2 linked regions of the Xenopus tropicalis genome follow. Each later gene encodes a partner of the first gene's protein in a complex. Links are inferred from orthologs where the notes say so. Each region holds a gene or a part of one and is shown in the gene's direction. Other genes may lie near its edges.

Region 1 (3,477 bases):
GACTGGCAATTTGTGGGTTCTGGCAAATGCCAGAGGGGCTGCTGTAAGATGCCACAGTCACTATTTATTGGGCCTGCGGGGCTGTTTGGGCCTCTGTGTAGTTTAAATGCCAGGGCTTATTCAGAATGCCAGTCTGGACCTGCAGTAAATATTGCCCTTTTACATCCTTTCCTTTGAGCCACCATTTTGTGATGTTCTGTATGCTCCCTCAGAGATCAGCTGACAGGAAATAATGCAGCTGTAACTGTAAGGGTGAAGACACACAGAGCTACTAGTAGCAGCTACTTGTCACAGCTACAGCAATAGACAATGCTGATCATTTACTGATAATTGTCTCTACATGTGTTTTAGCAGAAGCAATTCTCAGTATTGTCTATGGCAGGGGATTTTCTGGAGTTCAGTAGCCTTGAAAAATTAGCTGCTACTAGTAGCTGTGTGTGTCTTCACCCTAACAGGGAGAAGTGTTGGAGTAAAAGACAAAACTTTGTTCATTAATTGCCTTATCATAACTCCCAACTTTTGAAAAATGGAAAGAGGGATAAAAAGATTTGGCGTGCACAGCGTGGCAAATTTTTTGACCATGCCCACTTTTGTGGCCACGCCCCAATTACCACTCCCCTTTTGTTTGTTTTTTATTTTCAAAAATACTCCTTTTATATAGTTGAAATGGCGGATCAAACACAAAATGTGCTATACCCTCATACACTACTACCTAAGGAAAACAATATAGCAACTCCTACATATAAAATACAAATATAGAAGGCAGTCAGTTATAAGTGAGTTATAGCTATGTACCAGTTTTGCCCCCCCATACACAGTGCCCCCCATAGAAAGTACCCCCAATTGCCCCCATAGACAGTGCCCCCAATTGACCCCATAGACAGTGCCACCAATTGATCCATAGACAGTAGCCCCCAATAGAAAGTGCCCCCAGTTGACCCCATAGGCAGTGCCCCAATTTACCCCATAGACAGTGCCACCAATTGATCCATAGACAGTAGCCCCCATACACAGTGCCCCCATAGAAAGTAACCCCCATACACAATACCCCCATAGACAGTACCCCCCCATACACAGTGCCCCCATAGATAGTGTCTCCCAAAGTCATTGTCGTCTTCTTCTTTTTCGGCTCCTGTTCTTTATGCGGTGACAGGTCCTTTTATAAGGTTGCGTTCCGTGCGTACGTGTGACGTCAATACGCACGGGGCGCAACCTTATGAAAGAGTCTGTAGCCGCTGCCGCACAAGGAGCAGGAGCGCCCTGGTCCAGCCAGCGCATCCCGCTGTCCCATATAGTTCAATGAATGTTCCACATTTCCGTAATCTGTTACGCAGGATGCGCTATTAAAACCGGGATAGTCCCCCTGAAAGTGGGACAGTTGGGGGGGTATGCCTTGTGTGACCTGGCATGTATATGTGCCCTTGCGTTGTTTGTGTGCACTGTGATTCCTTAGCACTTAAAATGGCATTTTTCTATTTAGGATTACCCAATGGCACATACTACTAGAAAAGTATATTTTTATGAAAAAAAAAAATAAAAAGGTTTATTTAGATGAAGCAGGGTTTTCCCATATGAGCTGTTTATGTGATACATTTATAGAGACCTACATGGTTGAGGGGTATAGTTTTGCTTGAAGTCATAGTTGTCTGGGCAGGATGCACATACCGATACCAGGCAAAGCTTTGTTATTGGTGAGAATGTGGCACAGTGTGTCCTACAGTTCTGCTTGGTTCTGTGCACCCCACGTAGCATATACATTGGCACAGTGCTGGGACACCATGACCTTTATCCAGTGCAACAAATGACTCACCATTTGTTCCCTTCGTGTCTCTATCAATTGCAGTTTGATGGGAATTGTAATTGCGTTGAAAGGCTGGTGCATGGATTTACATGAGCAGTTGTTTGCACTTGTGCCTCGTGATTCATGATTTACAGATGATGCAGCGAGAGCCTGATGAAATGAAATTCCCTCTTACCCTACTGCCCAGGGAGACGCCGCCACAACAAAAGCAACAACCCTCCTAGATTGCAACAGACATCTCTGAATTCCTCGGTGCACGTTTGTAATTGTACTGGGAGAGATTTGTTACTCCGAAGCTTTAATTTTATGCATTTTGTGTTGTGCTTAATAGTAGCAACCTCATCTGGTCCCATTCAGCCGAGCCGTTTAGTTGTGACCTTCAGTCATCTTCACCTTCTGGGAGTAATTGAGTTGTGAGTTAATGATTAAAATATCAGTGTGCGAAGCCCATGGAAGTCGCAATCGGAAATTTGTTGTGCTTATATTTGAGATTTGGCAAATAAAGTGGTGTTTCCAATACTTTAGGGTTGCTTTAGGGACCCATCCCAAGCCTTGTGGGTGAGGACTGGCCATTGTGGTCTTTTAATCAGATGCTTAGACACTCGTATAAAAGCAGTTTGCTGTGGTTGCACTATTCTCTGTGTGTATTACTGTGTCTTCTAAGGCAAAAAGCAAGCTCTGACTGCTTTCTCACTGCAAAAGGAGTGTCCATATGATACAGAGAAACTATTCAGCGGAATGAACTCTCATCATGCAATGCACATGTGTGTCTGACATAGCGCTGTGGCTAAGTGGAGGGGTCACTGGGGCCACTTGCATCGAGCCCCATTGATAGGACCCTGGACTGGGATTCTGGATAGGCCCCGGCATTTCAAGTACACAGAGGCCCAAACAGCCCCCCTGGCCCAATAAATAGTGACTGTCTGTGGCATCTTACAGCAGCCCCTCTGGCATCCTTATGTCATGATGATAGTGTGTTTGATGAACATATTATTGCATGCAGTATGTCCAGCTACAGCTGCCACACAGGTGATATTTAGTTGCACAGAAGGTGGCACCGAGTTGCTCTGTTATCTACCATAGTCGACACATTGCCTATTTATTTGCACTATATCAGCATTTATGTTTATAGTCCTTACCTTTGCCCTAACCTGCTCCTATGTAGAAGCTTTTTGCTTGAGATACCTGCAGTCTAAACCTTCTCTCCTCCTCCTTCCTAGGACTCCCGGCAAGTACAAGTGCAGATCTGGCTGGAGCCGAGGCAGCAGAACCCTCCTCTCCAACACTGAGCCGTGCCACCAAGAGCAAAGTGTCAGGGAAGCTCCGCCGCTCTGCCAGCGCTATCAGCAAATCTTCCAATTGAAGCACTTTTTATATGGAACTTTATTCAAGAGATGTTTTTAAATGAAAATAAAATAATTAAAAGTAAAAAAAAAAAAAAACATAAATTTTAATATGGTTGAGGTGTGCAATGTTGTAGTTCATGTCTAGCGGGGCAGGACCCCCTTGGGTGGGTGAGAGCAGAAGCCATCCACTAGACACTAAGATATGATGCAACTGCTGGGATAGTATTGACAGCCGGAAGGAATTGGCTGCCGAAGCGTGGCACAGCAGCACTGACGGCGAGGGACCAGCGTGAATCCACGTCGTGCACAAGAATTACCTACAAGATGTCT
Region 2 (4,261 bases), on another chromosome or scaffold:
TAGCTGAATACACATTGTAGTCTTAGGGCCAGATTCAATAACGTACGAGTTACAAGTACAATTTGCAAAAATTTGCATTAAATACAAAAATTTCTGATGTGTGTTAATTTTGCGAAAAGTCGCGTCGTGCTTGGAAGAAAATATTGTGGTACAATTCCAAAGTTGCGCAATTTTTGTATCCGAATAATTGTAAATGGTGCGAAGACCTTTCTGACTTTGAACCTTCAGTACATGATTTTGGAAGCCTCCCATAGGACTCAATGGCACTCTGCAGCTCCTACCTCGCCCAAGGAAAGTCACGATACTGAAGCTTGAATGAATCCAAAACTTTCGTACTCGTTGCGACAAATACAATTTTTGTCGCACAAATTGTCGCAAAGTACGAAAAAGTTGCACAAATTAATGAAAATATCACAGAAAATACGCAAAATTTGTACATAAAAAAAAAATACACTTTTTGTAATTGAACCTGTCGTACTTTAATGAATGTGCCCCTTAGGCCCCATGGCCTTCGGATAAGTGCAGGCCCAAAATCTGCCCCTACACTTTAAAATTCTCATTGTTGTGCCTGCAACTGCTGCCACTGTATTGGGCACACTAAGTGGAAATCACTGCAAAACAACATACGCAAGCAGTTGTGCTTAGTGTAGTTACTGCAGTCGGGCCGATGCAATGACTCTGGGTGCAGGCATAAGAATCAGATTTTTGAAATGTTTTCTATAAAGACAGTTGTAATTGTGGCTTTTCCCATAGCAAAGAATAATGCTATGTGGCAAGCCTCATATAAAGAAAACCTGTTTTTAATTTATAACCACTTTCATGTGGCATTGTACTAAAGGTTCTTACACACATGCACAATTGTTTTACACTTCTGTGGGTGCAGTCCTTACAGAGGAGAGATTGGTCAGTTAATTGAATGCATGAAAAATGCAGGACATCGAGGTGCAGTTAGAAACTCAGGTTTTAATCCAACCTGTAAAAAAATCAGTGTGGTTCACAAAACAGATGTCATTTTATGCAAGACTAGTAACCTTTGCATATGCAACCCATCATAAATCAGTTTGAATTAGTTTAGTGCAGTCAGACAATTAAAAATAAATGTCTAGTCAGTTACTGCTGGTTATGACTCTAGAAAAAAATGATACCTGTTTTAAAAATTCCTATTGATGTGTGGCTGCAGAGACATCAGCATAGCATGCACAGGTGCTTGGGATTTGAAGAGGATGAGAATATAGTGTTTATGGTTTCTTCTTCCAAGTGGATATTAAAAGGTGGAACGATAAGCTACTGAATAGAACCCTCAGCAAAACTAGTGCTAATCCTTAAAGCCCAGGTGTGTTGCACAACTGAATTTTACCACAGATCAGAGGATTAATAGTCAGACTGAATAGTGTTTTGTAGAATTTTCTCATTTACAATGGGGAAAGGCAGCAAAGTTGTAGTTTGTGGGTTTGCGGCAGTTGGTAAAACAGCAATCCTGGAACAGCTGCTATATGGAAACTACAAATTAGGTAAGTCTAGTGTATCAGGCAGTATGAAAATACTATGATTCATAAGAGTTGGCCAAATCCATACAATTTTGGTAATGTTTGGATTTAGGAAACTCATATTCAGTCACACTGAATCTGAAAACTTACTCTCAACACTTTAGCAAGCAGGGAATTCACTAAAGTGACATAAACACAAATTTGACTTTGATATTGATTTACCCTATAAATCAGAGATCCCCAACTTTTTATAGTCGTGAGCCACATTCAAATGGAAAAAGTGTTGGGGAGCAACACAAGCATGTAAAATGTTCCTGGGGGTGCAAATAAGAGCTATAATTGGCTATTTGGTAGCCCCTATGTGGACTGGTAGCCTATAGAAGGCTCTGTTTGGCTTTACACTGGGTTTTATGCAACCAAAACTTGCCCCAAGCTAGAAATTAAAAAATGAGCAGCTACTTTGAGGCCACTGGGAGCAACATCCAAGGGGTTGGAGAGCAACATGTTGCTCACGAACCACTGGTTGGGGATCACTGCTATAAATCATCTAATCTGAACACCAGTGTTTGGGGGGGGGGAATCAAAAGAACGTTAAATTCACAAAAGCTTTAATCTATTGGTCTAATGTTTATTTCTATTAAATCTGTTTTGTGAATATGGTGATTTTGTACACCGTCGTTTTGTGAATTTGTAGTAGCAAATTTATCCATGAAATCTGGAGTATAACTTGTGCCAGGTGAAATTGATGTTAATTATTAACTCCATTTTGCTGGCATTATTTAACATAAAATTCAAAAGGATGGAATTCAGCTGGCGTAATTGCTTAATTTAGCTTTTTCATATATATATATATATATATAATATATATAGTAAAAAAAATAAATTTTGGCATAGGGTGGTGTATTGAAAATTGGTGTCCAGGTGATTGTGAGTGGTTTAATCAATTTCTGAACTAAACAAACATTTTACTGCGGTGAAATGTCAAAGTGCATCTTAATGCCACTTTTGTGAATATGGTACATAGAAATGGTACAGTCTAATATCACAGCATGTAAATAGTGATAAAGGAATAAATAATTTTTGATATTTAAAAAGATAGATAAGAATCAGAGATTAAAAAATCCAAATCTACAGTCAATTACATATGTGTTGGGTACATACTGTATATCTCAGTAATAGTGAACTAGGTGGTTTTCATAAGAAAATAATATGCAATAAACCAGAATAATATAAAGTAAATATTGTATGGTAAACTGGTATACGGGGCTGCCATCCGAAAATTTGGGGCCCCACACCAGTTATTTATATGGAGCCCCCCATGAACACAAGCACGCAGTACCAAAATACTGGCCATGCCCCTTGTGTGTGCAATATAAACAGCTGATGTTACTCTATAGTAAACAGATAATATAAAGAGTTCCATTGATTAACGTGCTAATAAGTCATTCAGTTTATTAGGGGTCAGTGAAATTTGCCCTACGTTTAACCCATTCCCACCTACCTGCCCCTGCACTGTGCTATCATTGCTTGATATGGAAGTTCTGTAAGTTTTCGCATAAGTTACGTAAACTGCATACGTTTAGGGGCCCGATGATATTACTGTGAGGCGCAGTCAGTAGTAGTTCATAAAAATAGTAAAAATAATGAATGTGCTAATAAGTCAGTATTTTAAATGATGTTTCTTGCTGCAGGGCCCAATAACCATTCAAGTCATTCCCCTGTTGCAAAGTTCATGTAGAATAATAAATAGTTCCCAATATAAAAAACAAATCTGATGTTACTCTATAATAAGCTGTTTATATTAAGAATTAAAATGAATTAATGAGCTAAAAAATCAGTCAGTTCATTGGAGACAGTGGAATTTACCTTAAGTTTGTTAATTTGTCAATGGCCAGTGGGGTTTATCCCTGCAAAGCTTCTCTGCATTGTCTTTTGCTTGATGCAAGTTTCTTAAACTTCTAGGAGAGTCACATAGTTTTCCTAGCAGTTTTTGCGTAAATTGCGTAAGTTTTGGCGTAGCTTTATGCTCTATGCTTTACTTATGCAATTTACATAACTTTTGTAATATGACCGGGCCCACTGAAAGAACATGTAAACCCCAGACACAAAAATTTAATCAGTGAACAGCCTCTTTTAAATCTTTCAATACCTGCCACACTGTTTGTCCAGAGGTTAATAGTAAGGCTGCAGCATCCCCTTAATCACTTAGATTTCCTTCTCCTCCTGTAACATACTCGCCCCCTTCCCTCAGGAATTTGCTTTGACTTCTGGCTTGTGGGCATGCTCAGTTTTTCTCAGCTCAGATTACTAAACACGCCCTCCAGTCTAGCAGCCAGTGAGGAGATGGCATTGCCAGTTCCCATAGAAACTCGGCTCTAGCTGTCAGCTTCAATTTTTTTCTCCTAACCTCCTCTCCTGAGCTCAGCTCAAACTGAACTTTTATCAGAGACAGTTGTGCCTGTGTAAGCCTGTATTCTTGATGAAATGTATACTGAATAAGGGTCTGTGTAGGCTGTTTGCAGATTTAAATGTAACTGATTATTTATCGGAGGAAAAATGGCCACCGGGTGAAAGCTGCTATTTGCTTTAGGAAAATGTGATGGTGCTGGCAAGCGGAGGGGATATATGCAGTACAAATGATGCCATTTGGGTGGGGGTGATGTGCCCAACTGATATACATTGTAGGCAAATGTAGGCTTTACATGGCATTTAAGGAAGAAGAATTTAACAAGGCCCGGCACAATTGTACCCCCACCTCCTCCCTGATGGCGGCC

What was found.
Region 2: the proteins of ralgapa2 (region 1) and nkiras1 are in contact, whole or in part, in a crystal structure (PDB 9QU1), measured with the Homo sapiens proteins. The link is inferred for Xenopus tropicalis from reciprocal best matches to the Homo sapiens genes RALGAPA2 and NKIRAS1. Residues at the interface, in NP_065076.2 of Homo sapiens: Pro20, Lys21, Tyr51, Ser52, Gln53, Phe56, Tyr59, Glu60, Ile63, Arg99, Phe102, Arg103, Trp104, His105, Tyr106, Gln107, Ser108, Lys185, Ile186, Tyr187, Pro188, Glu189; in NP_001364280.1 of Homo sapiens: Lys6, Glu22, Leu24, Leu25, Tyr26, Glu34, Met39, Glu40, Asp41, Val42, Tyr43, Met44, Ala45, Ser46, Val47, Glu48, Lys54, Gln56, His58, Tyr60, His74, Tyr75, Ser77, Phe78, Lys108, Thr162.

The regions. Positions count from the first base shown.
Region 1 is NC_030681.2:36,761,366-36,764,842, forward strand, and holds part of ralgapa2 (ral GTPase-activating protein subunit alpha-2), read left to right. Parts: intron 1-3,021; coding exon 3,022-3,164; 3' UTR 3,165-3,477.
Region 2 is NC_030682.2:46,635,321-46,639,581, reverse strand, and holds the start of nkiras1 (NF-kappa-B inhibitor-interacting Ras-like protein 1), read left to right. Parts: upstream 1-1,144; 5' UTR 1,145-1,417; coding exon 1,418-1,511; intron 1,512-4,261. UniProt on the Homo sapiens protein: Atypical Ras-like protein that acts as a potent regulator of NF-kappa-B activity by preventing the degradation of NF-kappa-B inhibitor beta (NFKBIB) by most signals, explaining why NFKBIB is more resistant to degradation.